Macaca fascicularis: one gene and its partners. The protein of the gene in region 3 interacts with the protein of the main gene of each other region in a pairwise test. Links are inferred from orthologs where the notes say so. Each region holds a gene or a part of one and is shown on either strand. Other genes may lie near its edges. The genes, in order: LNX2, ARRB1, MAPK9, EFHC2, ARRB2, SHMT1 and WDR62.

Region 1 (4,408 bases), on a different chromosome or scaffold from region 3:
TTTTTAAAAACCTAGAAGCATTTGGATAGAGGAAGGTGGGCCTGTGAACTATGGCCCTGTAAGCAGGAGGGGAAGTTAAATAGTTCTTCATAATACAATTTAAAGATATTTGAATTTTGGGGTGGCAGTCAGAAAGGAAAGAAAGAAGAGGGGGAGAAGGCCGAAGAGCCAACCAGATTACAAGAGCCTGGAGTCCTTCTTTCTTTGATGGTGGCCAAAATGTATTTTAAGGACAGAAATGCCTAATATTCAATGTCAACACTTCTGACATTGCTCCACTGTGAACCCCTTCACCCTCCCCTTCCTCTAAATCGCCTATAAAGCTTACCACACCCATAAAGGCTTTCTGTGAACTCTTTTTTTTTCTTTTCTATTCTTTTCTAGCTCCTGTGAGACACAACTATCCAACAACTGCATCATGGATCTCTCAACCATCCATTTAGCACCTCCTTAGATTGGTCCAAAACTGAACTTATCTCCCCTTCCACACCTCTACCATCAATTGTTTTTAACTGCTTCTTCTCATATCCTCCAACATTCCACTAGCTCATTAACGTCATCATCTATGCACTTGGAATGTGCTAGGTACCCTGCCAAAGGCATTACATGTGTAATTTCTCAAACCCTATTGAACAGGTATGACAATCATTTCCCAAATATTAGGAAATCAAAGTTCTGTCAGGATAGTAATTCTAAGGGTAAGTAATAGAATTAGAATTTGACCCGTTTTAATTCCACAGCCAGCTTACCCAGTACATGTCAATCAATGCCTGAAATCAAACAACCCAGGATTCATCCTTCCCCTCCCTTAAGCCTATCTAGTCACTTACCTGGTCCAGCCTCCTAGTCATACGCGTTAAATGCCATGTCGTTTCTCCTTCCACTGCCAGCACACTAGCATTTACTAAGTCCTTACTATGTGGCAATCACTATTCTAAGTAATATACATGTTTTTTCAAGTTCTATCCCCCAAACTCTGAGATGAAAAACCTAAGGAACAAAGAGGTTTCAGTGTATGACAGAGCTTGATTCCACCCCAGGTAATCTGAATAGAGAATCCCTGAGCACTTAACCCCTCCATTATAACAGCCTCCAACTTAGTCTCAATACCGCCCATCTGGAAGCCCACCATCCTCCAGATGCTGCAGATATCTTTCTGGAACGCGAATGTTATCATGACATTCTCCTGCTTAAAATTAGCAGCTCAGTATCACTGACTGGATAAAGTCCAAATTTCTTAATCTGGTATACAAAATCCTTCATTTTTCTGTTCAAGTCAATTCAGTAAATATTTTAGTGACCAATGTAAGCAAGAAAAGGTGCCAAGTGCTCTGAAATGAATACCATACATGTCCCTGACTACTACTTCCACCTTGGACACTGGGTCCTTCGGCCAGACAAGCCCATATGCAAAGCTCATAATACAACAGCCCAAAGATACATGCATTTATTTTTAAGTGGCCTGCGTGCTCCGTGCCTACAATGTACGATATCCCAAATCAATCTGAAGGCTAGGTGCCTACGTAACACCTATTCTTACAGGTCTCCAGGCAGAAATGCTCCCTAAGTTCAAATTACTTCACGGTAACTAGCGGGATAAAAGCATGGATCAATTTCCAAATGAGAAAACTTCTGGGCAAGAACTAACCCCTGCCATCAATGGCTGGCATGCAGTAGGTACTTTATCAGTGGCTAAATGAATAAATAATGAAAAAATGTCAAAGCTGATGAGAAGACGAGAGAAACAAGATATATGGAGAATGTAACACACAAGTGGGCCGAATTAAAAGTAATGTTATTCTACTTTGGTTCTCATTTGGCCTACTTTTACCCCATGGGAAAACTCACATGTGGGACTTGGACAAGCTTAAAAAGCCAAAACTTTGTTATTCATGGCTCAACAAAGCTTTGACAAGCCAAAAAGGATACCAGATTCCCGCTTCCTTCTTTACCTGCCAAAGTCCATTTTCTAAAGAGGTGTGGGGGTGGGAATCAAATCTAGCAAAGTAAATAAAATTGATCTACTGAGATCCAACTTCATCAGTGCTGCATCGAAGTACATGCAAAAGAAATATCAAAATCTGTCCTGGGAAGAAGGCCAATTTACAAGTAAGTACTATTGCCGCAAGAATGTGAAATTCTTAAAGGCAGTTCCAATAAGCTGGAGCTCACAAGTGTTCCTCCTCCTGCACCGCCACCGCTCTTCACTCAACTTTGTTTCTGATTTCTGTGATTTTAAAAAGGATAATAAATACAGCAAAGTCCATGCATAAGTGTACTTTAGCTCCTGGCACAAACGAACGTCTGGATTCATAAACTCAACGTAAACTGAAATACTAGAAGAAACACTACATGAGTCAAAAGTCCTTGTTTAAAACGTGGCATAAAGCTTTGAAAAGCGAGTGATGTATTTCCTGAACGATGCTTTGTGTGCAACTGGTTCCAAATCAAGATTCGCATTTTTAAATTACCCACTGGAATATGTCAAATCTATCTCCCACCCTCTCCAGCCTAAAGAGAAAGGTGAGAATTCACAGGCAACAGGCTAGGGCGGAGGGAACGATCTCTCCCTATCCCTTTGCAGAGGAACAAAATCCGACAAAGGCAGCTAGTGCCACTCGCATTGCCGACACCACACACACACACACAGGAAATTTAAACACTCACCCCACCTCTCCCTTCCCTTAAGAAGCAAACGACGCCAAGATCTGCACCGCGGTGGCCGGAACCAGCAAATGCTAACAGCCGGAGGCCGCCCGCCTCCAGGGCTCCTACAGGCGGCGGGCACCGGGCGCCGACTCTCCCTCCCCGACCAGCCCCACACCGGAGTCCACGCCAGCCCCGCAGCCCGGGCGAGCAAAGACAGCCGCGGACGACCAAAGCTCCGGGGCGAGCAGCGGCGCCGCTCCGGCCGCCTCCCGGGGCGCGGCGCTCCTCCACACCCAGCCGACGCCCGCACCTGAGGCGGCTGCCCGCAGCCGGGGAGAGGGCGCGCAGCGAGGCGGGCAGGGCAAAGTTACTCACTGGGAAAGCGCGGCTGCCCGGGCCGCGCACGGCCACCAGCTCCCGCTCTCCGCGGCCCGCTGAGGGAGCGGAGAGCCTGCCCGGCTCCGCTCCGCCGAGAATTGCCGCCGCCGCCACCGCGGATTTCCTGGCAAGAAGCAAACTCCGGCCAAGACTTCACTTCTCAACCGCCCCTGCTGCCTTCCCGGGGGCCAGCGCTAAGGCCGAGCGGCCCAACCCGCAGCCGGGCCAATCGGAGGTAGCACAGGGCGGGAGGTGGGCGGACCAGAGGGCGGCTCCACCTATCCGAGAGCTCGGGAGGCGGGCCAGAATTGGCCCGTCACTCCTGGGTTAGAGTGAGACCACTCCGCCCTCGCCGCCCGCCTCCCCCACCCGCCCCGGGCTGTCCCCGCCGCCCGCCTGATTCCCCTGCGGAAGCCCCGGGGGCTAGGTGCCTGTGCGCACCCCGGGCCGCTGCCAGGAGTGGCACTGCTCGGGAAGGAGTGAACATCCAGAGGAATCGCGGGGCGGGGTGGGGGGAGGCTAGGAGAACAGGTGGCGCAGGGAAGCAGAAACGTAGTTGCGCAGGACAGCTGGACAGCTGGAGTGGGGCAGGGTCGGGGCCGGCGGCTAGGGGAGAAGGGCCTATTCGAGAGGAAGCGCACCTGAGGGAGCGCGGCCGGGGCCGGGACGTGGGAGCTGGGCGGAGAGCGAGTCTGGGTGGCGAAGGTTGCCGAGGCGGGGGCTGGGCACCTGGGAACAAAGGTGAGGGCGGGTTCCGCAGGTGAAGAGGTTTGAAGAGCCACAGCGGGTAAAGGGAAAGGAAGTCCACAGCCGGAGAGGACGCGCTCTGGGGGATAGAAGGAATCCTAGGACGGAAAGGATGAGGTGGGAAACAGTTTTTTCGCAAACTCTCACTCCCCCAAAAGAGAAAGACATTTCTTTCTTGCCCTTTATTTGACCCAGTTGAGAATGCAACTGCAAGGTCCCCGGTGAGACAAATACCGCCTTCAACCCTCGTATTCTGTCGTGACTCATCTTGCACGTGACCTCCTCCCTCTTCAAGGTGTGTTGACCGACTAGAGCCTAAGCCTGTCGTCCCACAGAAGGCCCAGGAGGCCGGGGTCCCAGGAAGGGCCATCCTGGGTCAACACCGCCCCAGTGGGGGAGTCGGGCCTCTTTCGCCCTTGCCACTGGGAAGGGAAGTGATTTGGGGGCGGCAGGTAAAGCCCCGCTCCTTCACCATCACCTGGGGAAAGGTACCAAGGTTGAGCTGGCGCGCCCGCAGGCCTGTCTGGGCCTCGGGGTAAAGCGGCGCTGGCCCCACCCCCTGCCCCCACCCCCTGCCCCTCCCGCCGTGAGTGGCCTCGCCTGGTCGCCCAGGTGAGCCGCCGGGCCGCGAGCC
Region 2 (4,582 bases), on a different chromosome or scaffold from region 3:
GGGAGGCAGAGGTTGCAGTGAGCCAAGATCATTCCATTGCACTCCAGCCTGGGTGGCAGAGTGAGACTGTGTCTCCAAAAAAAAAAAAAAAACCATTTAGATGTTTTGGGCATCAGCATGGAGAGATCCATTGGAGATCATATGGTTTGGTCAAACCTGTTTTATAGGTGGGGAAACTGATGTGGAGAGTGGCAGGACCTGGCCTCACCATCCTGGTTAGGGATCTCCTGTCATCAAAAAGATTCTAGTCTGCTCCTTTCCAGATCTCTGAGCCCTGCAGAAACAACAGGTGGCTTCCTCTTCTTCCCCTGTGGAGGGTGAAGCCCAGAGGCCAAGACTGGGAGGAGGGTTCTGGGCCTTCCTCCATATTCTCTAGCTCCTAACATTGCCCAGAGGTGGGCCACCCTGCCTACCCATCAGCCTTCCCCTGCCCCTCTGCCAAATCTGGACATAATTATAGTAATGATACTGCATATAAACAGTATAGGTAACTGCTTCTGAGCATGATTACAGGAGATGTTTACACACTCACAACAGCATCAGAGTAAATGATAGCTTCCTCCCTTAATACTTAGACCTTTCAGGGATAGTTAGCCAAATCTCAGCAGTGAGGGTGTGGGAAAGACCTTACAATTTCCCACTACCTGCAAAGCAGGAAGGCACCTCAGACAAAGCAGCGTCCCAGCCAAGATTTCACAGGACATCAAGAAGCCTGCAGAGAAGTGGGCTAACATCTACTGGGCACCTACTGTATGCAGGCACTTGGGGAGGCCAGCAAACAAGCAAGTTCTTTCAACCTATTAATTCTGCAGGCTGATATTAGTGTATCCTCACTTTACAGGTCCGGACATGCGTTCTCAGAAGCTTGGTGTACAGGGTCACCCGCAGCAGGCCATGGAGCTAGGCATGGGCACTTTCCACGGTGCTACCCGGTCACATCAGCGGGCCAGCTCTGCCCTCTTCCTTTATCGCCTCTTCTCACTTCTCGCAGCTTCCCTTTCCTGGGCGGCTTCCTGCAGCCCTTGCTGGTCGCGGGTCTCCGCTCAGTTCCCCAGTGTCAAGGCCGTCTACTGCCCCCTCCACCCCTTCTTCCTGTCTCTGTTGGGTGACTGGGTGTTATCTCTCCAGTAGAAGGGGGTGGGGTGGGGTGGAATGGGGAAGGGTGGAGCACAGGGCGAAGGCCTTGCCAGGCATCCCGGGGTCTCCAGCTAGGCGAGCGGCCGCAGAGAGCGCGGCCTCGGGGTCGCCAGACCCTCGGCTTCCAACCACACGCACACACAAAGGCTGCCCCGGCATGCGCGGGAGAGCGCGCTCGCACCCACGGCCGTGCGCACACACGCACAACTGCACAAAGACGTGCACACTCCTCCATCCACACCAATACACTCCCAATAGGGCCAGCACACAGCCGTGCGCCCTCACGTACACCACACCACCACCACCATACAAACACACACACACTCACTCATACGGACTCGCACGCGGGTGGACCCCTCCCCCACCACAAACGCCGACCTTGGGGCCTTGACGCGTCCTGCAGCGCTGCCCCGGCTCGCTGGGCGGCGCGCGCACACGCAGACGCACGAGCGCGCGCACACACACACACACCCCGCGCGGTTCCACGCCCCTGACCGCGGCCCGGGCGCTGCGCTGCTCCGCGCGGCGGGAGGCGGGCGGGGACCGGGGGCGGGGGCGGGGGCGGGGGCGGGGGCGGTGGCGGCGGCGGCCGGGAGAGCGGAGAAGGCGGAGCAGGGAGCCGGGAGCGGGCTGGCCCGCGCTCCTCCTGCTGGCCGGGGATTTTCCAGCCTGGGTGCTGACGCCGCGGACCTCCCTGCGGCCGTCGCGGACCATGGGCGACAAAGGGACCCGGTGAGTGCAGGGCGGTCGCCCGGCGTGGGGCGTGTGGGGGCGACCTCGGCGAGGGCACGGGCGGGGGCTCCGATTGCGTCCTGGTTCTGTGTTCGCGGCCATCCCGGGATCTAGTACCAGCCCTCCTCCACCCGAGGTCTCCTGCGTGGTCTCCCCGGCAGGGCCGTGGGCGAGGGGGACCCAAAGGGCGAGGGCCGGGCCGCCCCATGTGGGCCGCGGCTCCTGGCCCGGACACACTCACAGCTTGCTGATACCCAGCATTGGCCGGCAGCCGCAGAAACGCGCGGGGGCAGGTTGACACACAATACACGCACGGGCACACTAACCCGTGGCACAGGCATGCTGGCGCACACACTGGCAGCCACTGGCACACGCTCATCACACACAGTGGCACGCCGTCATACACGCCTCGGTCAACACATTCTTGCTTACAGCCTTGTTGGCATGAACGGCTCACACTCCAACACACACCAATTCTAACACACCCTCGTGCTAGCACACACGTGTGGGCATACACTGATACGCAAACTGTCACCTGCACTCGCTGTAGCAAACACTCTTGCTGGTACACACATCACCCTCACTAGCACACACACTTGTGCTGGCATGTCTCACCAACACAGTGGAGCGCAAGGCCACACCAACACTGACCCCCACAGACACAATCAGACTAATGCTTGCAAAGACTGGCACCCCGCAGGCACGAGCTGCTAGCCGGAGGCCCGCTGACACACACGTTCCAGGCCCCACATGGCCAGAAGTGGAAACACACATCACACGGGGTAGAACGCTCCCCACTGCCCCCAGCCTGGGGAAAACAGATCCCATCCCATCCGAATAGATCGCATCCATCTACTCTGTTCCCTTTCCCTCTGACCTCCTGAGGAGTGGCTGGCCAGGGGCTGTTTTGAACCTAGGGCTGGGAGAACCCCTCCCGTTCTAGAACCTGGCCTGAAATACTCAGAAAGAAACGGTCTATGCCTCTGAAAGGGGAAAGTGGGACAGAAGGAGGAGGGGGCTGGAGCAGGACAGCCCCTGGGGGCAGCCCTTCAGACAGGACCAGCCCTTCAGACAGGACCAGCCCTGGTCAAGGGCTCAGCATTGCCACCCTATTTTCCCCGTTGCCCTCCCCACCCAAGTGGGCACAGCAGCCTCTTCCTGGGCTCCCCCTCTTTCTCATTGTTTTCTGTCTTTCTCCTCTCCTATTCTTGTGCCTGACTTCTGCCTCCTCCCTTTCCTCCCCTCTCCTCTCCTCGGTTCCATTTATTATTAAGCTCTTGCTGTATACTAGGCATAGTGTGGGTAATCAAAGATGCGCAAGGCCCACTCCTCTGAAGGAGCTAACAGACTAGAGAGACACACCCCAGTGGGCACCACCTTTCAGGGCCACTGACAAAGCCATTTCTCACGTACTGCCATCTGAGACTCTCTCTCAACAGTGTGAGAAAGGGCTTCCAGAGATTATTTCTATTTTCTAGAGGAGGAAACTGAGGCTCAGAGGCAACTTAGGCTCTTAATGTTTAGAAATTACTTTCCAGCCATCCTCCTGACAGCTCTTCCAGGGGGTTAATTTTCCTCTTCCTGTTTTCTAGCAGAGGAACCAGAGAGCTGGAGAGGTCATGTGATTTGCCTAAGGTCAAAAGAGGCCAGAGGCAGGGCAGAGGCTGGAGTCCACTTGGTCATGTCTCTGTGGATGGCCCTAGGGCACTACCAGGCCCCACATGGGCCAGGGAGGGGTGCCCTGCTCTGTGCTGGAGGCCCAGGCTTTGGGGGAGACAGCAGAAGATCATGCTGTGTCTGCATGCATCTTGATGGCTAGTCCCCATTGCAGCTGGCTGGCCAGCACTGTGACCTAGGCCTCTGTCCTCAGTAGGAAGGTATGTGACTCCCTCCCCAGCCACATCCATCTTGACCCATGAGGTCAGGCTTTTCTTCCTGCAGGGTATAGCAGGGAGTTGGAGCCATTCTCCACTCCTCCTGTCCTTCCTAGGCTGCCTTGTGATTGGGGTAACTCAGCCTCTCTTGGGTCTCTCTGTACCTCTCTGTGACTTGGGGGATAAGTGTCATTGCTGTCCTGCTGACATGATTGTCAGGAAGATGTGGACACCATGGGCTTCCAGGCACCTGTTGGAGACCCTGTCTCTGAGGCCAAGATATTTTCCATGACTCCCCCTGCCCTGCCTTGAACTCACTGCTGGACCGTTGGGACATTGGGCAATTGCCTTTACTTTTCCGGACCTTAGTTTCCCATCTGTAAACTGGAGCTATCAATACTTAACATTTTAAGGCTTCCCTTGTACTTACTGACTTCACTGGGCAGGGGAAGAGGCACTGCCTGAAGCCTGGAGCCAAGGCCCAGCTAAATCCACCTGATAGTGGCCCTGACCTCCCCCTCAGACTCTCCTGCAGCCCCATGAGGGCTTTCTGTCCCTTTCCAGACAGTTTGCTAAGTAATTTGGAAAAGAAGGGCAAAATCGGTAATGGGCTGTACCTTGTCTTTTTCCGTAAGCCATGAGATTCTACTTTATCTATGACTTAGAGGAGGAATCTGAAGATATCTAAAACTGAACATCAGGAATCATTGCATCCATCCCTCCATCTGGAATTGCACCCCCATATGAAAGTGACAATGAAAATTTATCAGAAACTGTCACTGCCTTCTAGGAATTCCCAGGTTCAAGGGGGAAAGTGGTGTTAAATACCTGGACAGGGC
Region 3 (3,955 bases):
CAAACACATAACCTAAGTCATTCCAGATGACTGAGGGAAAGATGAATTATCCATTATATAGGATTGGGGTGATCGGTTAGCTAAGGACAAAAATAAAACTGCATCCATATTTCAATCTTTATACCAAGATAAACTCAAAATGGAACAAAGATTTAAATCTAAAACATGAAATAAAACATCAGAATATGATAAACATTTATATAATCCTGGTGTAGAAAAATCTTTTCTAAACCTGACAGGAAACCTAAGGGATCTGATTACATTAAAATGAAACAAAAAAACAGGCGATAAAAAATCAGTATGTCAACAACATAGTCAAATGGAAAAAAAGAAGTAAAGGGCAATAGTTTTAATATTAAAAAAAAAAAAAAAACCCTCCTTCAAATGCAGAAGAGACCAGCAGTCCAAAAGAAAAATGGATAAAGGCCATAAAAATTAAATTACCAAAACACATAAAAATAAATGACAACCTCACAAATAAAAATATCATTTATCTATCAAATTGGCAAAAGTAAAACAAAAAAAAATCAATGGTATGTAGTGCTGGGGGATTCTGAAGTAACAGACATTCTCAGATACTTTTTTTTTTTTTTTTGAGATGGAGTTTCACTCTTGTCGCCCAGGCTGGAGTGCAATGGTGTGATCTCGGCTCACTGCAACCTTCGCTTCCTGGGTTCAAGCGATTCTCCTGCCTCAGCCTCCCGATTAGCTGGGATTACAGGCACCCGCCACCATGCCCAGCTAAATTTTGTATTTTTAGTAGAGACAGGGTTTCACCACATTGGCCAAGCTGGTCTTAAACTCCTGACTCAGGTGATCCACCTGCCTTGGCCTCCCAGTGTTGGGATTACAGGCGTGCACCACAGCGCCCAGCTGACACTTTTTTTTTCAAGAGATGGGGTCTTGTTTTATTGCCCTGGTGTGCCTTGAACTCCTGGCTTCAAGCGACCCGCCTGCCTCAGCCCCATAAGTAGCTGGGATTACAGGTGGAAGGGACCATGCCCAGCTTCTCAGATACTCTTAATGAAAATATCAAACTAATAGTCTTCCTTGAGATCAATTTGTCAGTATATATTAAAGTAGAATATATATAAACCAGAAGTGTGTACTCTGACCCGGCAATGTTGGCCAAGAACTTCACCTGGACAAGTGTGCAAAAATTCAGGCGTAAGAATGTTCATTGCAACACTGCTTATAACAGTGAGAAACAAAACAATCTATCCAACAACAGGTGGTTGGCAGTCTCTTAAATTACTGTGCATCTGCGCTATTCAGTCATTTAAAAACTGGCTTATATCTATGTTAATTAAAGTACATGAGGTCAACCCACACTGCGTGAGGAGAAAAGCAGGATGAAGAATAACACGATTAATCTTGTTTATGTACTTGTGTACATGTATGTATAAGAATGCTCACCAAATTGTTAATGCTAGTACTCTGTGGGTGGTGGTAGTCAGGAGTTTTTACTTTTTTATATTGTTTGAATTTTTAAAAATAATATATATTTTTTGTAACCTGAAAATTTTTTTAAATAAACAAGTAAAATAAAGCATGCATTAGAGAAATTAAAACCAACTCAAGCCACAGACTCAAAAGAAGGAAGCTCAGGAGTTTAAGACTAGCCTAGGCAATGCGGTAAGACCCCAACTCTACAAAAAATTTAAAAAATTGTCAAGCATGGTGACACACGCCTATAGTCCCAGCTACTTGGGGGGCTGAGGTGGGAGAATCACAGCCTTGGTGACAGAATGAGATCCTGTCTAAAAAATCAACACAAAACAAATAAAAAAACTCCTTCCAGATTTAACATTATTTATTTATTTATTTATTTATTTATTTATTTTGAGATGGAGTCTCGCTCTGTCGCCCAAGCTGGAGTGCAGTGGTGCGATCTCTGCTCACTGCAAGCTCCTCCTCCCGGGTTCACACCATTCTCCACCTCAGCCTCTCGAGTAGCTGGACTACAGGCGCCCACCACCACGCCTGGCTAATTTTTTGTATTTTTAGTAGAGACAGGGTTTCACCGTGTTAGTCAGGATGGTCTCGATCTCCTGATTGTGGTGATCCACCCGCCTTGTCCTCCCAAAGTGCTGGGATTACAGGCGTGAGCCACCGCGCCCTGCCAACATTTTATAATTTTATAACTTGGCAAGGTTATCAACGTAATGCTCAGCAGCGACCACTAGGAGAACATACAATGTGCCTGATTGAGCACAACTTCATTTTCTAGAAACATTATTTCTCCATAAAATTTAGTGCTTTGATTTCTGTGGCGCTTCCAAGAATAGCTACTCTAAATGTGACATCATCTAATAAGTGTATTTGAAACTGAGATGTCATATACAAGGTAAAAAATTACTTATAGAACAACATCTTTCCACAAAATATTTAGTTGTTTCTCAATTTGTTGGATCAATACTGTTCCTATTTTACAGAAACAGTATCAACTGATATTCCTACTCTGGTTGAGTGACCTAAATTCCTATGAACCATAATGATGCCTCTTTTCAGCTTTAATTTCCTCAATGTTTATTAAGAATTTTATCAATAAAAAATAGGCCGGGCACAGCGGCTCACACCTGTAATCCCAGCACTTTGGGAGGCCAAGGCAGGTGGATCAAGAGGCCAGGAGATCGAGACCATCCTGGCTAACACGGTGAAACCCCGTCTCTACTGAAAATACAAAAAACTAGCCGGGCGTGGTGGCGGCGCCTGTAGTCCCAGCTACTCGGGAGGCTGAGGTGGAGAATGGCGTGAACCCGGGAGGCGGAGCTTGCAGTGAGCCGAGATCACGCCACTGACCTCCAGCCTGGGTGACGCAGCGAGATCCCATCTCAAAAAATAAATAAATAAATAAATAAATAAATAAAATAAAATAAAATAACAATGTTAATAGTCACTTTTATCCTTAGCTTATCCTAGATCTGAACTCAATGTATCTCCAGAAGACCCTGAAGATTCTCACATTATTGACAACATGGAAGCACACAGACAAAATACACACATAACTTACATTTTTATGATTGACACATTTTAAGAGGACGAGTTCACGATAAGCTCTCTTTGCATGAGTTTGGTTCTGAAAAGGACGGCTTAGTTTCTTGACTGCAACATTTATCCCAAGAACTGTATCAAATGCAGCACTAGAATTAGGAAATATAATGCACAATCCATTAGAACCGTTTTGGAAAACACAGCAATGCCAGAATATACATTGAATATATTATCTTTTTAATAAGTAACAAGGAAAAATCTGCTTATTTCCATTCAAGGTACCACACATATGAAGAGCACAGTGAGCTGGCTAAGACTACAGCATGGACTAACCCCTTTGCAGAGACATATTTCAGCGACAGTTAAGACGGGGTTCAGCAATCCTTCACGTACCGTTTTCACAGTTTAGACTACATTCAAAACCAGGTAATTTAACATAGAGTGCATAAAACCAGTCAAGAAATGAAATCTTCAGTTTAAACATGACAAGAAGTTGGAAACAAAGTCACTGTTATCCCATCTTAAAATGTGTATATTTTGGAATATCACAGTAGAGGAAATGGTTGAGTTGATGAGAAGAATACAATAAATCTAAAGTTTGAGTCATTGTGTTTTTTTCTTAGACAACAGTATCTAATAAGAAAAGAAGCCAAAATTTCAGCTCATGGTAAATGCCCAAGATACAAAATCTCTAACGTAAGCAACTGCTATATAAAGTTCTTTTAGAAATATCTCCTCCTACTACTATGGTAAGAATAAAATTTAAAGGCTGTGTTTCCAGATCTCAAGTTTCCTGTTGAAATTCTGTTCATTTTCCCCCAGAAAACAGATATGAAAAATCAAGTAGCCTGATGGCACATTTTTAGGTTTCTAACTGGTACTAAATAGTACCATTTCTGTTATGACCTCTGGGCTACCCATCAGGGCTAACAGTTACTAAAGGCCACCTGAGAACCTAAGC
Region 4 (4,692 bases), on a different chromosome or scaffold from region 3:
CTTCTTACACTGAATTCCCAGAGGTACATGGCTATGGGTTTTAATCAAATGTATACTACATGACAAGAGTTCTGCTGAAGAAAAATAAAAATAGAACTAGAAAAATGCAGGGGAAAAATGTTGTAGTTTCTGAATATTTAAACCTCTAGGGTGGGGCGGGTGGGATGTGTGTGTAAAACAAACCAAAAAAAAAAAAAATCTCAAAATCTTCAGCTTTCACATTTGTAAATATTTTAGACATAATAAATTTTTGGTCAAACTATAATTATATACACATGCATATATTCCTAAGCTAACAAGCTGACTTTAGATAGAAAAAAGGGCATTACAAATATAAATACTGCATATGTTTCCTGTGTGTGTGTGTGTGTGTGTGTGTGTGTGTGTGTTTTGGGGAGGTTCTTTTTCTTCCCATAGCTTTACTAAGTTTAAAAAATAAACATATTTACTCTAGAGAGGTTTAAGAATTATTTTGATGAGGTGGGTTGCTACAAAACTTAACTATATAAGTAATAAATGTGTCAAAAAGGTTTCAAAAATATTTAATAGAATCACAACTTATTGCTGTGATATAATTTGATTTTGTATTGTCATGTATAACCTTCAGAAGTTATTTTCTGTTCATATACTAATGAATCAAATTACGTTGGATGAAAAATTATCAGAAGATTTTTTGGTATTAATAAAATATACATATAATAAAAATATTCAACATGTTTTAAGATGGCATTTTAAATAGTAACAGTACGGCAGAAATATAACATGATGTTCTGAAAAACTAACATGACAAAATAGGATTAATTGTGATTTGTGGATTTCCATTTAATATAAACCTTGTTTCTTTTTTGTTTTTAATGAAATTATATCTACTAAAGTAAATGTGGCAAAATGAGAGAAGTAAATCAAAGAGAATTGACCAAAACTGGCATGGTTATTCCTCCTCTAAGCCAAACACATCCTTCAAAAGGGTCAAGTAGTCAATGTATTTCGCAGGAATAGGTGATGGCATGCCAAGCCAGATATCTTCACATCTCTAGAAAAAAAAAACAAAAATGGATATGATTAGAACCACATTTCAAAGTACAGTTTTGAAAATTCAACACCGAAGTTTATTTTCAAAGGGAAAATTTCTACCATCTACTTCAGGTTCATAAAGACTTTGTGGTAGACTGGATACTTGTTCTTGATTCTTCATTCCCTCCCTGTATAAGAATTACGTGCCCACACTCTTTGTCATATGACTCTGCAGAACCTCCCGTGGAGTAAGAAGAGTATATTTTCCTGTTCCTTTGATATGTGGTTGGCCACATGACTGGCTTTGACCTATGTACTGTTAGCAGACATATCATGAACAGAGGCTCTAGTGTGCTGGCATCATTTGGCTTGGCCTTCTGTGCCTCTGCCATCACCATGAAAAGAACATGGCCCAGGATGCTGTTGTTTTTAGAATGACCAAGGGGGATCAGACCAGGCTGGACTTGCAGACTAAGAGCCAAGCTTAGCTGAATCCAGCCATGCTTCACTGACCTACATGCCCATAGAAAAGAAAAAGAAATGTGCCTTCTTGTGAACCACTGAAATTTCAGGAGTTGTCATGCAGCATTAATACAGTGATAGATCCTCCTATACTTTCTTAAGAACCCAATTTTTATTTTTATTTTATTTGTTTTAAGGCAGGGTCTCACTTTGTTGCCCAGGCTGGAGTACAGTGGCGCAATCTCTGCTCACTGCAACCTCTGACTCCCAGGTTCGAGTGATTCTCATGCCTCAGCCTCCCGAGTAGCTGGGATTACAGGCACATGCCACCACGCCCAGCTAATTTTTGTATTTTTAGGAGAGACGGGTTTCGCCATATAGGCCGGACTGGTCTGGTCTCAAACTCCTGGCTTCAAGTTATCCATCCACCTCAGCCTCCCAAAGTGCTGGAATTACAGGCGTGAACTGCCGCCTAAAGAACCCAATTTTTAAAATACAAACTGGTAGCTATACTGGCTGCTTGGTTACTGTTTCTTCCGTAAACAATGAAAAGAACACTGGATCACTCACAGTGTGATCTTGCAGATAAGCCACTTTGTGTGTGTGTGTGTGTGTGTGTATACATATACACACACAGATGCACATTGTATATAATATGTAAATATGTGTGTATATACACACACACACACAAACTTTTTGAATATGCTGCAATGGTTAATTAATATCAACAGGAGGCAAAGTCCATATATATGCCTGCTTATATTTCTACTGTCAAGGTTAAAATATGACTGTCAAGGTTAATTGTTGTATATAAGAGGTTCTATATCTTTACTAGTGTTACATTAGTATCGAGAATCGCAAGGTGTCACAGAAACATAGGTAAAGGCTCAATAATTTGATGTAATGGAATTTTGGAAGCAAGCTGAGTAAGTGGTGTTTCAGTTGCACCTTATGGGATGAAAAACAGTTCAGCAGAGGGTTTAGGGTCGTGAAGGGTGTTCCAGGCATAGGGACCAGTGTAAGCAAAGGCCTGGAGACCTAAAATCTATTTTCAAGAAAGGGTGAGTAGCCCAGTGTGGTATGCGGCACATGGTGCAAAGTGGCAAGAGAGATGGTTAGAAGGAGAAGCTGGGGCCAAACTTCTGGCCTTCTGTGCTAGTTTCTACTTGAGGCTGTGGTTACGGGAAGTCACTGTAGGTCTTGGCCAGTGAAATGACAGAAATCTGATTAGAAACTGATTAGCTAACTTGCTGGATGTACAGAGAATGAAATGAAGTAAGAAAAGCAATCTGGAGGTGAGTGCAATAATACCGCTGAAAGATGACTGTGCCATAACCAGGGCAGCTGAAGTGGGCATGGAGGACAGGAGCTACCTCTGAGAGATGCTGCTGCAGGAGAACATAAAATAGCTAGAAGGGGATCAATTGAAATGGTGAAAAAAGAAAGGTGTAGTGCTATGGGTTGAGTTGTGTCCCCGCCCCCCCGCAAAAGAGGTATGTGAAGTCCTAATCCCTAGTACCTCAGAATGTGACCTTGTTTGGAAATAGGGTTTTTGTGGATGTGATTAGGTAAATTAAGATGAGGAAAATGAGATCATACTGGAGTAGGGTGGGCCCCTAATTCAATATGACTGGCCTCCCTATAAGAAGACAGCCAGGTAAAGACAGAGACACACAGGGGGAACACCAGGTGACCACAGAGGCAGAGATTAGAGTTTTGCAGCTGCAAACCAAGGAACACCAAAGACTGCCAGCAAACCATCAGAGTCTAGGAAGAGGCAGGGAAGGATTCCCACACAGGTTTCAGAGAAAGTGTGGCCCTGCTGACACCTAGATTTTGGACTGCTAGCCTCCAGAACTGTGGAAGAATAAATTTCTATTGTTTTAAGCAACTCAGTCTGTGGTACTTCGTGAGGGCATCACTAGGAAACTAATACAGGTAAGGATAGTTCTAAGAACTCTAAATTTAATAATAGTTGACAGTATCTGTTATTAGTTTCCTGGGGCTGTCATTACAAAGTACCACAAAGGAAGTGGCTTAAAGCAACAGAAACTTATTCTTTCACAGTTCAGAAGGCCAGAAGTCCAAAACCAAGGTGTTGGCAGCATTGGATCTTTCTGGAGGCTTTCAGGGAGAATTTATTCCATGCCTCCCTCCTGGCTTCTGGTGGTGGCTGGCAGTCATGCCTTGGCTTGTAGGCATATCACTCCAGCGTCTGCCTCCAACTTCACATGGTGTTCTCTGTGTATACCAATATGTCTTCATGCGGCTTTCTTATCAAGTCACCAGTCACTGCATTTAGGGTCCACTCTAATCCAGCATAACTTCATTTTAATTAATTTTATCTGCAAAGACTATATCCAAATAAGGTCACATTCTGAGGCTTGGGGTAGACATGACTTTTGGAGGGGACAATATTCAACCCAGTGTAATATCATAAGGAAAGCAGGAAGAGTTTTAAAACATTTTTTAGTAGGAAAACAAGGCTCAGAGGGAAATTCTAAGTTCAGTTGTGGGCACTTTTTCTTTCTTTCTTTTTTATTTATTTATTTATTTTTTATTATTATTATATTTTAAGTTCTAGGGTACATGTGCATAACGTGCAGGTTTGTTACATATGTATACTTGTGTCATGTTGCTGTGCTGCACCCATCAACTCGTCAGCACCCATCAACTCGTCATTTACATCAGGTATAACTCCCAATGCAATCCCTCCCCCCTCCCCCCTCCCCATGATAGGCCCCGGTGTGTGATGTTCCCCTTCCCGAGTCCAAGTGATCTCATTGTTCAGTTCCCACCTATGAGTGAGAACATGCGGTGTTTGGTTTTCTGTTCTTGTGATAGTTTGCTAAGAATGTGGGTACTTTTTCTTTCAGGTGTCCATGGGACATCAAGGTGAAGATTCTGGTAAACATCTGTAAATATGGTTATATATAGCACAGAGCTAGAATCCAGAACTGTGCAAAGATATAGAAGTCACTGGAATATGAGTGACATGTAAAACTATGACAATTGACAACCCTGTCATAGAATCAGACAATAACTAAGTACCAGCATTTCTGATTCAGGTGTAAAACCTTAATTTAAGAGATGATTTATGATGATGATAAACTAGTTGCAGATTTGTGCAGGGTTATAGATAGGAATCTTGTAATTACCTAGTAGTAATAGGAATAACAATACATTTATTGGATATTTACTACATGGCTGATACTC
Region 5 (4,477 bases), on a different chromosome or scaffold from region 3:
TTGGGAGGCTGAGGCGGGTGGAACACGAGGTCAGGCATTTGAGACCAGCAAGGCCAACGTGATGAAACCTTGTCTCTATTAAAAATATGAAAAGTAGCTAGGCATTGTGGCAGGCGCCTGTAATCCCAGCTACTCGGGAGGCTGAGCAGAGAAGTGCTTGAACCTGGGAGGCGGAGGTTGCAGTGAGCCGAGATCGCGCCACTGCACTCCAGCCGGGGCAACAGAGCGAGACTCTATCTCAAAAAAAAGAAAACGAAAAAAAACTTCTGCACATCCTTCAGAAAGACTGTCCTCATATGTTCTCCGCTCCACCCCCGCCCGGGCCGAGCGCTGTTAGTGGCTGTGTCTTCTGACTCAGACCTCTGTAATAGCATTCCTGGGTAATACCTGTGTATGTGTCTCCTCAACTATTCTAGGAAGTCAGGGGCCATGGTAATTCATATGTGTCCCCATCGATTGGCATAGTAAATAGCATAAAATAGGCACGGATGGGTGGGTCGATAGATGGACCGATGGGTGCGAGCGAGTGAGTGAGTGGATGTTAGCTGGGATGGGTGGGTGAAGGAGATGGAGAGTCAGAGACATTGGAAAAGGGAACCCTGCGAAAATCAAATGTAGACACCAGGAGGAGCTGACACGCTGCGGTGAAGAAGCGGGAGGGCTGGCCACAGAAGGCGGTACGCTCCGCGTGGAGCAGGTGAGCTGCGCGCACTGAAGCAAGTATCACGCAATTGAACTGCTCACCCACGTGTTCCCCCCCACCATCCTCCTTCCCAGACGGCGCTTCAGCTCATTCCACCGCCCCCAACAGCCCGGTCGCCCCCACCGCCACTGAGAAAGCAAACAAAGGGGAGGAGACCCCTAAAGGTTCTGGATGCCGAGGGCCAATCGAAAGACTTAGATCCCCTGGAAGGCGGGAGCCTTGGTTTAGGGGGGCCCAATCGGTTTCAAGGGGTTGCGGCGGGGCGGGGAGATGGGCGGGAAGAGCGGGAGCGGGCCCCGCGCGCGGGGGAGGGCTCCCCGGCTGGGACGGAACGCGAAGGGTTGGGGGCGGAGCCAATGGCCCTGTGTGTCTGCTAGGAGAGGGCGGGCAGCGCCGCGGCGCGCGCGATCCGGCTGACGCATCTGGCCCCGGTTCCCCCAGACCAGAGCCGGGCCGGGAGGGAGGGGGAAGAGGCGAGAGCGCGGAGGGCGCGCGTGCGCATTGGCGCGGGGAGGAGCAGGGATCTTGGCAGCGGGCGAGGAGGCTGCGAGCGAGCCGCGAACCGAGCGGGCGGCGGGCGCGCGCACCATGGGGGAGAAACCCGGGACCAGGTAAGGGAGGTGGGGCCACGCGGCGGGGCATGGGCGGCGGCTCGGGGCGGGGGCTGGGACGGTCCCAGACGAGGACGCCGCGGAGAGGATCTGGGGGCCGGACGCCTGGGTCCCTAGGGACAGCCATCCGGGGCCGCACGCGCAGGTCCTCGAGGATAATGAGGTTGGGGGGAAATGCCCGGGCCCCTGCAGAAAGCGAGGCCGGAGGGGGATCAGAAAAACCGGTGTCGGGGTTCTCTCAGGGATGTGGGGCCAGACTACTGGGCTCTCCCGTGCCCAGGAGTCTGGGCAGGCTGCGATGCAGGGACGGAGGGAGGAGCAGGTGGCTGGCCCCGAGGGGTCGTGTACGGGGAGGCTGGATGCTGGGAGGGGGATCCCCTCCAGACTCGTGCCAAGCCAATGCAAAGCCTCCTGTCCAATATCCCCCAGGTAGTCGCGCTGCCCACACCTGTCCCGAGGGCCGGGTGGCTCCTCATCCAAACTTCTACCTTCCCCTGGGTTGCCAGGAGCAACAACAGCTTCATCTTGGGAGAGCCTGACCCTTCCTGAAACTAGATCGGATCCCTCTCCCTGGGGGTGGGGGAGGCAGTATTCACGCTGGGCGCGCGTCCACTCCCCGGATGTTTTCTGTGCAATCGAGGCTCTTTCCTTCCACTGATACCCCGAGTTCTCTTTTTTGGTCTCTAGCAAAATCCACTTCCTGTTGTGACTCAACACCCCCAAGGGGTAAGGGGTGAATGCCTGAGTCCCAGGGGAGCAGGAGCAAAAGACAGAAAGGTTGGGGCTGTAGGCCTCAACCCAGAGGGGATCGGGAATAGGGAATTGGTCCTGAGCTCTGGCTTGCTCTGCAAAGCATCATATCGACCCCACTTCCAACCTATAGAGTAGGAGAACCCAGGTTTCTGAGCGTCAAGTAGATGAGTATCAGAAAGAGATCATCAGAGAGATGATCGGTGTCCTGGATTAGGGTTTAAACATCCCAGAGAAAGGGGAAGTTGCTGCCTTGTGGGAGGCCCCTGATTTCCGTTATGTGGTTCAAGGAGTGGGACAGATGGACCAAAGGGGACTGCTGACTTGACCCAATTTCCCTCACCTCCATCAAATTCTGGGCCACAGGAAATGGAGAGAATAGCAGGAAGTGTGAAAGGACATCTGCTTCAGCTACCCCTGCCCCCATTGGGCACCTCCCTGGTCATCCCCACACTCTGCCTCCTTGGCCAGCCTAGTATCTGCACGCTGCTCCTCCTCAGCCTGGCAGGAGGTGGCTGGGTTAGGATCCAAAGGGCAGGTGCCTTGCAGCTGCTCCAGGGCAGTTGCCCCAGAGCCACACTGCAGTTGGCCCACTGACTGTGGCTGTCACAGCCCTGTGCCAGGGCTCCTAATGGGAGGACACCCTGGGACAAAGAGGAAAACCAGAAGCAAAGGGGAGGGAGAGCCTGGATGATGCCACAGCACTCAGCCCCCAAGTTGGGACAAAAGATAGGATGTTTATTCTAGCTGCCACCGTATCGATGTTTATTCTCTTTTATTGGTTAGGAATACCTGGGAGCCTCCATACCCTTTACCTTATAATCTTTGGACAGCTTGGCTTTCTGGGAAGAAGGGACAAGTGAAGTTGTAGCAGAAACTGGGCCTATGGTAGAAACCATTTAGGGCCAAAGGCCAGAGTCATTGCTCTCCTATATGCTCCAGCTGTCAGAGCTGTAGACCAGATGGAAAGATGGTTAAGTCTTACCCAGATACTGCGGCAACCTGCCCATTGGGGTCCTCTGGGAATGGGGTGGTAGAGTTGGAGGAGGGATGGGCTAGTTGGCAGGATTTCACGTTCTGCTGTCTATCTGAGGATCCTTTCCAGGGATCACTGCTGAGGCAGAGTGGATTGGAAGGAGTAAGGTGATGCTTCAAAGAATAGGCTCACAATTGGCCAGATCACTGGGATTGCCAAACACTTCCTTACCCTCCCAGCAGTGGGTGGAGTCCAGGCTTAAATTGTTTCAGCAACTGGAAAGCGAATACCCTTCAATTGAACAAACTATTGATGCCAGCTACAGAGACGGATAGTGTAATATTGATTGAGAGGATGGACTCGGAGCCAGACCGCCTTGGTTTCTATTAATTCCCACCATTTACTCTCTCTGTGACCTTAAAACACTTAACCTCTCTCTGCCTCAGTTTCCTCACCTGGAAAATAGAGACATTAGGACCTCCATCACTGGGTAGTTTTATTTTATTTTATTTTTTATTTATTTATTTATTTGAAATGGAGTCTTGCTCTGTCACCCAGGCTGGAGTGCAGTGACGCAATCTTGGCTCACTGCAACCTAAGGCCGGGCGTGGTGGCTCACGCCTGTAATCCCAGCACTTTGGGAGGCTGAGGCGGGTGCATCACCTGAGGTCAGGAGTTGGAGATCAGCCTGGCCAACTTGGGGAAACCTTGTCTCTACTAAAAAACTACAAAATACAGGCCAGACGCCGTGGCTCAAGCCCGTAATCCCAGCCCTTTGGGAGGCTGAGGCGGGCGGATCACTTGAGGTCAGGAGTTCGAGATCAGCCTGGCCAACATAGGGAAACCCCATCTATACTAAAAATATAAAAATTAGCAGCCAGGCGCAGTGGCTCACACCTGTAATCCCAGCACTTTGGGAGGCCAAGACTGGCGGATCACGAGGTCAGGAGATGAAGACCGTCCTGGCTAACACAGTGAAACCCCGTCTCTACTAAAAATACAAAAAATTAGCCGGGCGTGGTGGTGGGCACCTGTAGTCCTAGCTACTTGGGAGGCTGAGGCAGGAGAATGGCATGAACCTGGGAGGCAGAGGTTGCAGTGAGCCAAAATTGCGCCACTGCACTCCAGCCTGGGCAACAGAGCAAGACTCCATCTCAAAAAAATAAAAAATTATCCAGACATGATGGCAGGCACCTCTAATCCCACCTACTCAGGAGGCTGAGGCATGAGAATCGCTGGAACCCAGGAGGTGGAGGTTGCAGTGAGCTGACAGCGTGCCACTGCACTCCAGCCTTGGTGATAGAGCGAGACTCCGTCTCAAAAAATATATATATACAAAACATACCTGGGCGTGGTGGCTCACGCCCGTAATCCCAGCTGCTTGGGAGACTGAAGCAGGAGAATCACTTAAATCTGGGAGGCGGAGGTTGCAGTGAG
Region 6 (3,955 bases), on a different chromosome or scaffold from region 3:
ATGCATTTTTCGACCCAAGTGTTTATACAGACAGGGTCTCATGCTAAACAAGTATTTGCCTGGGGCCCTGCACACCCTAGAGGCAGCCCTTGGCACTGGTTCTGAGGGTGCTGGTTCCACTGCTGGGCTGGCTGTGTTATCAGGTATTTGCAGTGGGGTGGCAATGGCAATGGGGTGTACACCTGAACAGTACAGGTGCTCCGCAACTTATGGGGTTACATTCCAATAAACTCATCATTAAGCTGAAAATATCATAAAGTCATACCTCAACTTATGGGGTTACATTCCAATAAACTCATCATTAAGCTGAAAATATCATAAAGTCATACCTCAACTTATGGGGTTACATTCCAATAAACTCATCATTTAGCTGAAAATATCATAAAGTCAAAAATGCATGTGATACACCTAACCTATCCAACGTCACAATCTAGCCTGGCCTACCTTAAACATGCTGAGAACACTGTGGTACCCTACACCGGGCAAGAGAGTCAAACACAAAGCTTATTTTATAATACGGTGTTGACTATCTCATGTAATCTACTGAATACTGTATTGACAGTGAAAAGCAGAACGGATGTATGGGAGCTTGAAATATATCTATTGAATGCATGTCACTTTTGCACTATCCTAAGGTTGAACGTCCTAAGTCAAACCACTGTCTGTTCCTCTGTAGCCGCTATACACAGGCAGGGGCTGGCCCTAACATGGCCATGGAGGACTGTTGCTGTGGATGGCACAGGGCTGCTGGTTTTGGTGCTGGAGCCGAGGATGCTGCCATCCCTGCAGCTACTGCATCCTTATGCTGCTGCTGGCCCACAGGGGCTCTGAGCAGAGATGTCACCAGGCGAGGGCAGAGCTGTGGAGGTGGTGGCTGTTGCTGGGGTCCAACTGTAGTGACCTGGTTGCTATTCCCCAGGGTTGTTATTCCCAGCAGTTACCACTGCCCCTGCCACACCTGAACTCTCCTCAGTAGTTGCCTCCCTCACTGGTTTCCCTATGGCCTCAGCTCAGACCCTCGTCTCTCCATCCCAGCTGCCCCAGCGGGTCCTGAAAGCCTGAGGAGTCCCCACGGCAGGGAAATGAAAAATGGTGCAAGGTGGGGACTTCCTATAGTGACACATAAACCAAACTTATCCCTACAGGCAGAGCCAAACATCAGAGGTTTCCCAAGGAAATAAAAGCTATGGAGAGAAACACATGCTTACCTTATAGGGCATAGATTCAAAGAAGATGGACGTGGCAGAGATTTTCTTCTTGTCTGTCATGAACCCATGGGTCAGGTGGCCCCCATCTGGCAGGTCCAGGCCCATGATGCGCCCATGGGGTTCCACCAGGGCAGTGTACACAGCGAAGTTTGCAGGGGAGCCTGAAACAAGTGGACCAAAGGAGACACGATTATTTCTGACCGAGGTACCAAGTGGCATCCGGGACCTTGGCCACTAAGCCTTCACCCAGGAGTGGCAAGAACAGGCCTCGTGCCTTCCCTGAGCTCCAGGAGGTGCCCCTTCACCATCAGCCTTGAAAGAGGAAGTTCAGAGAAAGGGCACTGCCTGGGAGGGGGTACAGAGCTGGGAGCCCAAGGGCAATACAGAGAGATGCATGGCTTATCTTTTATTTATGGCAGTCCTTCTTTTTTTTTTTTTTGTTTTTGAGATGGAGTTTCACTCTTGTTGCCCAGGCTGGCGTGCAATGGCGCGATCTTGGCTTAGCGCAACCTCTACCTCCCAGGTTCAAGCAATTCTCTTGCCTCAGCCTCTGAGTAGCTGGGATTACAGGCATGCACCACTACACCCAGCTAATTTTTGTATTTTCAGTAGAGACCAGGTTTCTCCATGTTGGTCAGGTGGTCTTGAAGTCCCGGCCTCAGGTGACCTGCCTGCCTCTGCCTCCCAAAGTGCTGGGATTACAGGCATGAGCCAACCGCGCCCGGCCTATGGCAGTCCTTCTTAGGATGCAAGTCCTTCTTAGGATGCTTCTTGGTGCATGTCAGCCCTGGGGGATGCACATGATGAGGCTGCACCAGGCCATGTGGATGAGACAATCACCTGAGTAGGGCTGGACGTTGACCCCCCAGCACTGTGGGTCCAGCTTATAGGCCTGCAGGGCTCGCTTCTGACAGAGGGTCTCCAGTTCATCAATAAACTCAGTCCCGCCATAGTATCTGTGGGAGGAGAGTAGGAGACTTAGATCCAATCAGACCCAGAAAATCTGTGCTTCACAGAGGCCAAAGAAGCTCGGGGTGGGACAGTGAAACTAAAGTGCAGAGAAGTAACGAACGAGAAGAGCTTGTTAACATGCAGATGCTGAAGCCAGCATGATCAAGTGTTCCACCAATGCCTCTGGAATCTAGAGTCAAGAGACCAAACCAGCTGTGCAACTTGGAGCAAGTATCTCATCTATAAAAAGGGGGGGTTTTGGCCGGGAGAGGTGGCACATGCCTATAATCCCAGCACTTTGAGGGGCCAAGGAAGGATTGCTCGAGCCCAGGAGTTTGAGACCAGCCGGGACAATATAGCAATACCCCCATCTCTACAAAAAATTTCAAAAATTAGCCAGGTGTGGTGGTGTGTGCCCACAGTCCCAGCTACGTGGGAGGCTGAGGAGGGAAGATTCACTTGGGCCCAGGAGGTAAAGGCTGCAGTGAGCTGTGATCACACCACTGGACTCCAGCCTGGGCAACAGAGTGAGACCCTGTTCCAAAAAAAAAAAAAAAAAAAGGAAGAAAAAAAAGGAAAGAAATCCTGTCACATGCTATTAATACAACAGGGATGAGTCTGAGAACATTATGCTAAGTGAAACAAACCAGTCACCAAAAGACAAGCACTGTATGATTCAACTTTTATGAGGTCCCTAAAGTAGTTAAGCTCATAGAGGCAGAAAATAGAATGGTGGCTGCCAGAGATGGGGGAACAAGGACTAGAGAGTTTGTTTTTGTTTTTGACGTTTTGCATTTCTAATGAAATTTTACTTTCAATTTAATAACTGCATATCAAAATTTATCATATATTTATGTTTTTATTATCTATTATTTATTATATTGATAACTCAAGTACTAAAAATTACTGGGTTCAAGCCAGTAATTTTTTTTTTTTTTTTTTTGAGACAGAGTCTCGCTCTGTTGCCCAGGCTGGAGTGCAGTGGCGCGATCTCGGCTCACTGCAAGCTCCGCCTCCCGGGTTCACGCCATTCTCCTGCCTCAGCCTCCTGAGTAGCTGGGACTGCAGGTGTCCACCACCATGCCCGGCTAATTTTTGTATTTTCAGTAGAGACAGGGTTTCTCCATGTTGGCCAGGCTGGTCTTGAACTCCCGACCTCAGGTTATCTGCCCGCCTCCTCCTCCCAAAGTGCTGGGATTACAGGCGTGAGCCACTGCACACGGCCTAACCAATAATTTTTAGCTTTTAGACCCTGTGATCACAAAAAGCTTTCTTTTAAAAAAATAAAAAATAAAAAAATAAGAGACAGGGTCTTGTTTTATCACCCAGGCAGGAGTGCAGTGGTGAAATCATAGCTTACTGCAGCCTAGAACTCCTAGGCTCAAGCAATCTTCCCCTGCCTCAGGCTCCTGAGGAGTTGGGGCTACAAGCCCATGTGTACCACACCCAACTAATTTTTTACTTTTTTGCAGAGAAAGGGTCTCCTTATGTTGCCAAAGCTGGTCTCAAACTCCTGGTCTCAAGTGATCTTCCCATCTCAGGCTCTCAAAATGTTAGGATTACAGGTGTGAGCCCTTGTGGGCTGTCACAAAAAGCTTAAAAATTAAAATATAAATGTATTTCTTTTTGTTTTTAAAAAAAATGTAACATAGGGCCGGGCGCGGTGGCTCACGCCTGTAATCCCAGCACTTTGGGAGGCCGAGGCGGGCGGATCACAAGGTCAGGAGATCGAGACCACAGTGAAACCTCGTCTCTACTAAAAATACAAAAAATTAGCCGGGCGCGGTTGTGGGCGC
Region 7 (3,955 bases), on a different chromosome or scaffold from region 3:
CAGGGAGGCCCAGGCAGTCCAGTGGAATGAGTGCTGGCACGAGCTTTGCACTTATTCTTCCAGAAAGACATCGTAGTGGCCTCCAACAAGGTATCTTGTAGAGTCATCGCCCTCTCCTTCTCAGAGGACAGCAGCTATTTTGTCACTGTTGGGAACCGACATGTGAGGTTCTGGTTCTTGGAAGTCTCCACTGAGACAAAGGTGAGTTTCTGTCCCTGGCCCTTTAACCAGGCCCTGAGGGAGTCACCATCTGTGGCAGCATGGCCTCCTGTTTCTCCCTGGGATTTGAGGGCAGCGGTCTCGGGCCATTTGACCTCTCAGGGGCCCAGCTGCTGCTTCTGGGCCTACTCTCAGGGGGCTGATGCACAGGCCCTGCCAGGAACCCCCTGACCCTGGGACCAGCTCTCATTCTTGGACTGCTGCTTCCAGCCCCCCTGTCCAGAGTGGCAGGGTTCTAGTGTTTTCTTTCCTTCTCCTCCATTTGGAAGAGCTTCTTGGAGTTCTCCTGTTTCGTTGTGTCCTATCATCTGGTCATGCAGGACCCATCGTGGCCCTGTTGGGGGCTCAGCTGTGTGGACAGTATCTCACTATGCCCTCTGTGTCTCCAGGTGACGAGCACAGTGCCCCTTGTAGGGCGCTCAGGCATCCTGGGCGAGCTACACAACAATATCTTCTGTGGTGTGGCCTGCGGTCGGGGCCGGATGGCAGGCAGTACCTTCTGTGTGTCCTACTCGGGCCTCCTCTGCCAATTCAATGAGAAGAGAGTGCTGGAGAAGTGGATCAACCTGAAGGTACCACCTCCCTCTCTGCCATCAGTTGGACAGGCTCTTTCTCATGATATGTGTCTGCAGGGGTGTTCATCAGTATTGACCACACAGGTTCTGCTTATGTGACTAATGGTGAATGACACCCCCTCTCTGAGCTTCAGGTTCCACATCTGTAAAATGGGAGTACTGCTGCCCTCCCCACAGAGCTGATAAAGAAGTCACGTGAGATAATATAGGCAGTGAGCACCGTGCTTGGTAACCTGAAATGGGCTCAAGGTGACAGTTTTTTTCCCATTACTATTTGATCTACTTCACATTTCTCTTCTCCTTTGAGCACTCTGGCTGGTAGAGGATTGCATTTTTAAAAACTCAGAGGTATCATTGATTTAATAACTTTTCAATCAAAAAAGACTACACAAAATGCATGAACTTTTATTTATTTTTAATTTTTTTTTTTTGAGATGGAGTCTTACTCTATTGCCCAGGCTGGAGTGCAGTGGTGTAGTCTCGGCTTACTGCAAGTTCCGCCTCCCAGGTTCAAGCGATTCTCCTGCCTCAGCCTCCCAAGTAGCTGGGATTACAGGCGCCTGCCACAACGCACAGCTAATTTTTGTATTTTTAGTAGAGACAGGGTTTTACCATGTTGACCAGGCTGGTCTCAAACTCCTGACCTTTAGTGATCCACCGGTATTGGCCTCCCACTGTGCCCTGCCATAAACTTTTAAACTAAAGCATGATCTATCGATACATTGCAGAGCTTCTTTCCTTTAGTATCTGAAAGTTTGTGTCCAAGCTATTTTCCCATCTGGAATCAGTTGCCCATTTGGCTATCAGCCAGAGCGTTGTGGTTTTCTCTCCTGTTCCTTGCTTGCCTTTGTAACTCACTCCAGAGATCACCTTTGAGGTTAATGGCATGTGAAAGAGTTCCAAGTTTTATATTTGTCCTAGTTGGTTAAACATCATTTTCTCTTTTTCAAGCAAGTGAAAAGCTTTCAATAGATAGATGTTTAGTTCCTAAACACTAAATGACTCATAAATTAAGTCCCTCTAGATTTGGAAAAACTCCTTAAACTGCATCTAGAGGTCTAGCACTTCCTAGTAGGATAGACAGTCCTTTCTAGATACTATAACTTTTTTCTTTTTTCTTTTTTTTTTTTTTGAGACGGAGTCTGGCTCTGTTGCCCAGGCTGGAGTGCAGTGGCCGGATCTCAGCTCACTGCAAGCTCCGCCTCCCGGGTTCACGCCATTCTCCGGCCTCAGCCTCCCGAGTAGCTGGGACTACAGGCGCCCGCCACCTCGCCCGGCTAGTTTTTTGTATTTCTTAGTAGAGACGGGGTTTCACCGTGTTAGCCAGGATGGTCTCGATCTCCTGACCTCGTGATCCACCTGTCTCGGCCTCCCAAAGTGCTGGGATTACAGGCTTGAGCCACCGCGCCCGGCCTTATAACTTTTTTCTGTACTGCTTTGGAGTATAGTCATTATGAAGTTGTTTGTAAGCAAAAGGGAATAAAATTTAAGCCTAAAGGCCAGGCGCAGTGGCTCATATCTGTAATCCCAGCACTTTGGGAGACCGAGGTGGGTGGATCACCTGAGGTCAGGAGTTCAAGACCAGCCTGACCGACATGGTGAAATCCCATCTCAAAATACAAAAAAATTAGCCGGATGTGGTGGCAGGCGCCTGTAATCCCAGCTACTCTGGAGGCTGAGGCAAGAGAATCGCTTGAACCCGGGAGGTGAAAGTTGCAGTGAGCCAAGATCGCACCATTGTACTCCAGCCTGGGCGACGACCAAAAAAAAAAACTCCATCTCAAAAAAAAAAAAATTTAAGCTTAACATTCAACCCTGTTACTACAAGTGACTTACCTGAAATTGCAGTCTGCTGAACAGGTATTCTTCATACATAGCTACGTTTCTCTGTGGACGGCAGTGACATCTCTGTCTCCGTTCATGTCTCTGTCTACCTGGGGACACATGTATTTCAATAGCAGCAGTATACTATACCTTGATTTCAGAAATCTTAAAATATGCTAAAATGGGTGTCTTAGACCCAAGGAACTATAAGTCTTCTCTGGAGGCCTAAGGCTGCTCTGTCAGTCCCCATGTCCCTGGGCCAGGCCACGTGAAGCACCAAATCCACTGGGGTCCCTTTTGCCCCTACAGGTCTCCCTGTCTTCCTGCCTCTGTGTCAGCCAGGAGCTCATCTTCTGTGGCTGCACAGATGGGATAGTCCGCATCTTCCAGGCCCACAGCCTGCACTACCTCGCCAACCTGCCCAAGCCACACTACCTTGGGGTAGATGTGGCACAGGGCCTGGAGCCCAGGTACTGCCCTGCAGGGAGAGGGAACGGAACGGGAGGGGCCCACCCAGAGTCTCGCCACTGGCATTCATCCATGCTTCCAGATCCATATATCTGTCCATCCCACAAATACTCATCATGACTCTCAGCCCTGGGCGTTACAAAGCAGAAAAGTCCTTGCCTTCCAAGGCAAGCTTCACAGTGAGAAGTGAGGCTGGGTAGGGGAAGAAACAGTCAGTGAGAAAACAAACGAATAAACAGTATCATCTCAGATAGCGGTCAGCATGGTGAAGAACAGTGCAGAGCAGCTGTGAATGTGGTGGAGTGTTTGCATCCACATGGCTGACCCCTACTAAGCAGCTGCTAAGTGCCAGCCCTGGGCTGGAAGCAGGATACACCTATAGTGAAGCAGCAAAATCTCTGCCTCTGTGCAGTGTAGCAGGGGGGCTCGATGATAAGCAAGTACACAAAGAAGGTAATTTCAGATAGGCATCAGTGCTTTGGGGAACACAGCAAGGACTCAGGAAGGAGAGTGCCGGGGTGGGCTGTGCTGATTGGGTGTCTGGTGAGAAGGAGCTGCTGTGTGGAGAGCTCGGTCCCAGCAACTGAGGTGACAGTACACTGGGCTTGTCATGTTGCAGGAATAGTGAGGGATTGTGTGGCCAGAGCCCAGTGTGCCCGGGGAGGATGGTGGGAGATGAGGCCAGTGTGGGGCGCCTGTAGTCTATCCTTAGGTCAGTGGGCAGTTGCTTGGGGGTTTCGGGCATTGGGGTAAATGACCAGGCCTTACATGTTAGGTCCCTCTGCTGCTGTGTCGAGAGTGGATGGAAGTGCTAGGCTGTGGCTTGTCTTCTCCTTTGTTGCAAGTCTGTTTTATGGAATCGGGGGCTA

Evidence for each region.
Region 1: the proteins of MAPK9 (region 3) and LNX2 interact in binary tests that used the Homo sapiens proteins (3 or more experiments, as listed by UniProt). The link is inferred for Macaca fascicularis from reciprocal best matches to the Homo sapiens genes MAPK9 and LNX2.
Region 2: the proteins of MAPK9 (region 3) and ARRB1 interact in binary tests that used the Homo sapiens proteins (3 or more experiments, as listed by UniProt). The link is inferred for Macaca fascicularis from reciprocal best matches to the Homo sapiens genes MAPK9 and ARRB1.
Region 4: the proteins of MAPK9 (region 3) and EFHC2 interact in binary tests that used the Homo sapiens proteins (3 or more experiments, as listed by UniProt). The two-hybrid records come from large-scale screens. The link is inferred for Macaca fascicularis from reciprocal best matches to the Homo sapiens genes MAPK9 and EFHC2.
Region 5: the proteins of MAPK9 (region 3) and ARRB2 interact in binary tests that used the Homo sapiens proteins (3 or more experiments, as listed by UniProt). The two-hybrid records come from large-scale screens. The link is inferred for Macaca fascicularis from reciprocal best matches to the Homo sapiens genes MAPK9 and ARRB2.
Region 6: the proteins of MAPK9 (region 3) and SHMT1 interact in binary tests that used the Homo sapiens proteins (3 or more experiments, as listed by UniProt). The two-hybrid records come from large-scale screens. The link is inferred for Macaca fascicularis from reciprocal best matches to the Homo sapiens genes MAPK9 and SHMT1.
Region 7: the proteins of MAPK9 (region 3) and WDR62 interact in binary tests that used the Homo sapiens proteins (3 or more experiments, as listed by UniProt). The two-hybrid records come from large-scale screens. The link is inferred for Macaca fascicularis from reciprocal best matches to the Homo sapiens genes MAPK9 and WDR62.

Annotation. Positions count from the first base shown.
Region 1 is NC_088391.1:7,597,390-7,601,797, forward strand, and holds the start of LNX2 (ligand of Numb protein X 2), read right to left. Parts: upstream 3,211-4,408; 5' UTR 3,025-3,210; intron 1-3,024.
Region 2 is NC_088388.1:74,216,921-74,221,502, reverse strand, and holds the start of ARRB1 (beta-arrestin-1), read left to right. Parts: upstream 1-1,736; 5' UTR 1,737-1,849; coding exon 1,850-1,869; intron 1,870-4,582. UniProt on the Homo sapiens protein: Functions in regulating agonist-mediated G-protein coupled receptor (GPCR) signaling by mediating both receptor desensitization and resensitization processes.
Region 3 is NC_088380.1:187,169,617-187,173,571, forward strand, and holds part of MAPK9 (mitogen-activated protein kinase 9), read right to left. Parts: intron 3,144-3,955; coding exon 3,014-3,143; intron 1-3,013. UniProt on the Homo sapiens protein: Serine/threonine-protein kinase involved in various processes such as cell proliferation, differentiation, migration, transformation and programmed cell death.
Region 4 is NC_088395.1:44,209,021-44,213,712, forward strand, and holds the end of EFHC2 (EF-hand domain-containing family member C2), read right to left. Parts: intron 1,034-4,692; coding exon 932-1,033; 3' UTR 798-931; downstream 1-797. UniProt on the Homo sapiens protein: Microtubule inner protein (MIP) part of the dynein-decorated doublet microtubules (DMTs) in cilia axoneme, which is required for motile cilia beating.
Region 5 is NC_088390.1:4,804,830-4,809,306, forward strand, and holds the start of ARRB2 (beta-arrestin-2), read left to right. Parts: upstream 1-1,320; 5' UTR 1,321-1,343; coding exon 1,344-1,477; intron 1,478-4,477. UniProt on the Homo sapiens protein: Functions in regulating agonist-mediated G-protein coupled receptor (GPCR) signaling by mediating both receptor desensitization and resensitization processes.
Region 6 is NC_088390.1:18,475,074-18,479,028, forward strand, and holds part of SHMT1 (serine hydroxymethyltransferase, cytosolic), read right to left. Parts: intron 2,165-3,955; coding exon 2,049-2,164; intron 1,370-2,048; coding exon 1,209-1,369; intron 1-1,208. UniProt on the Homo sapiens protein: Interconversion of serine and glycine.
Region 7 is NC_088393.1:43,309,267-43,313,221, forward strand, and holds part of WDR62 (WD repeat-containing protein 62), read left to right. Parts: intron 1-63; coding exon 64-201; intron 202-608; coding exon 609-791; intron 792-2,927; coding exon 2,928-3,088; intron 3,089-3,955. UniProt on the Homo sapiens protein: Required for cerebral cortical development. Plays a role in neuronal proliferation and migration.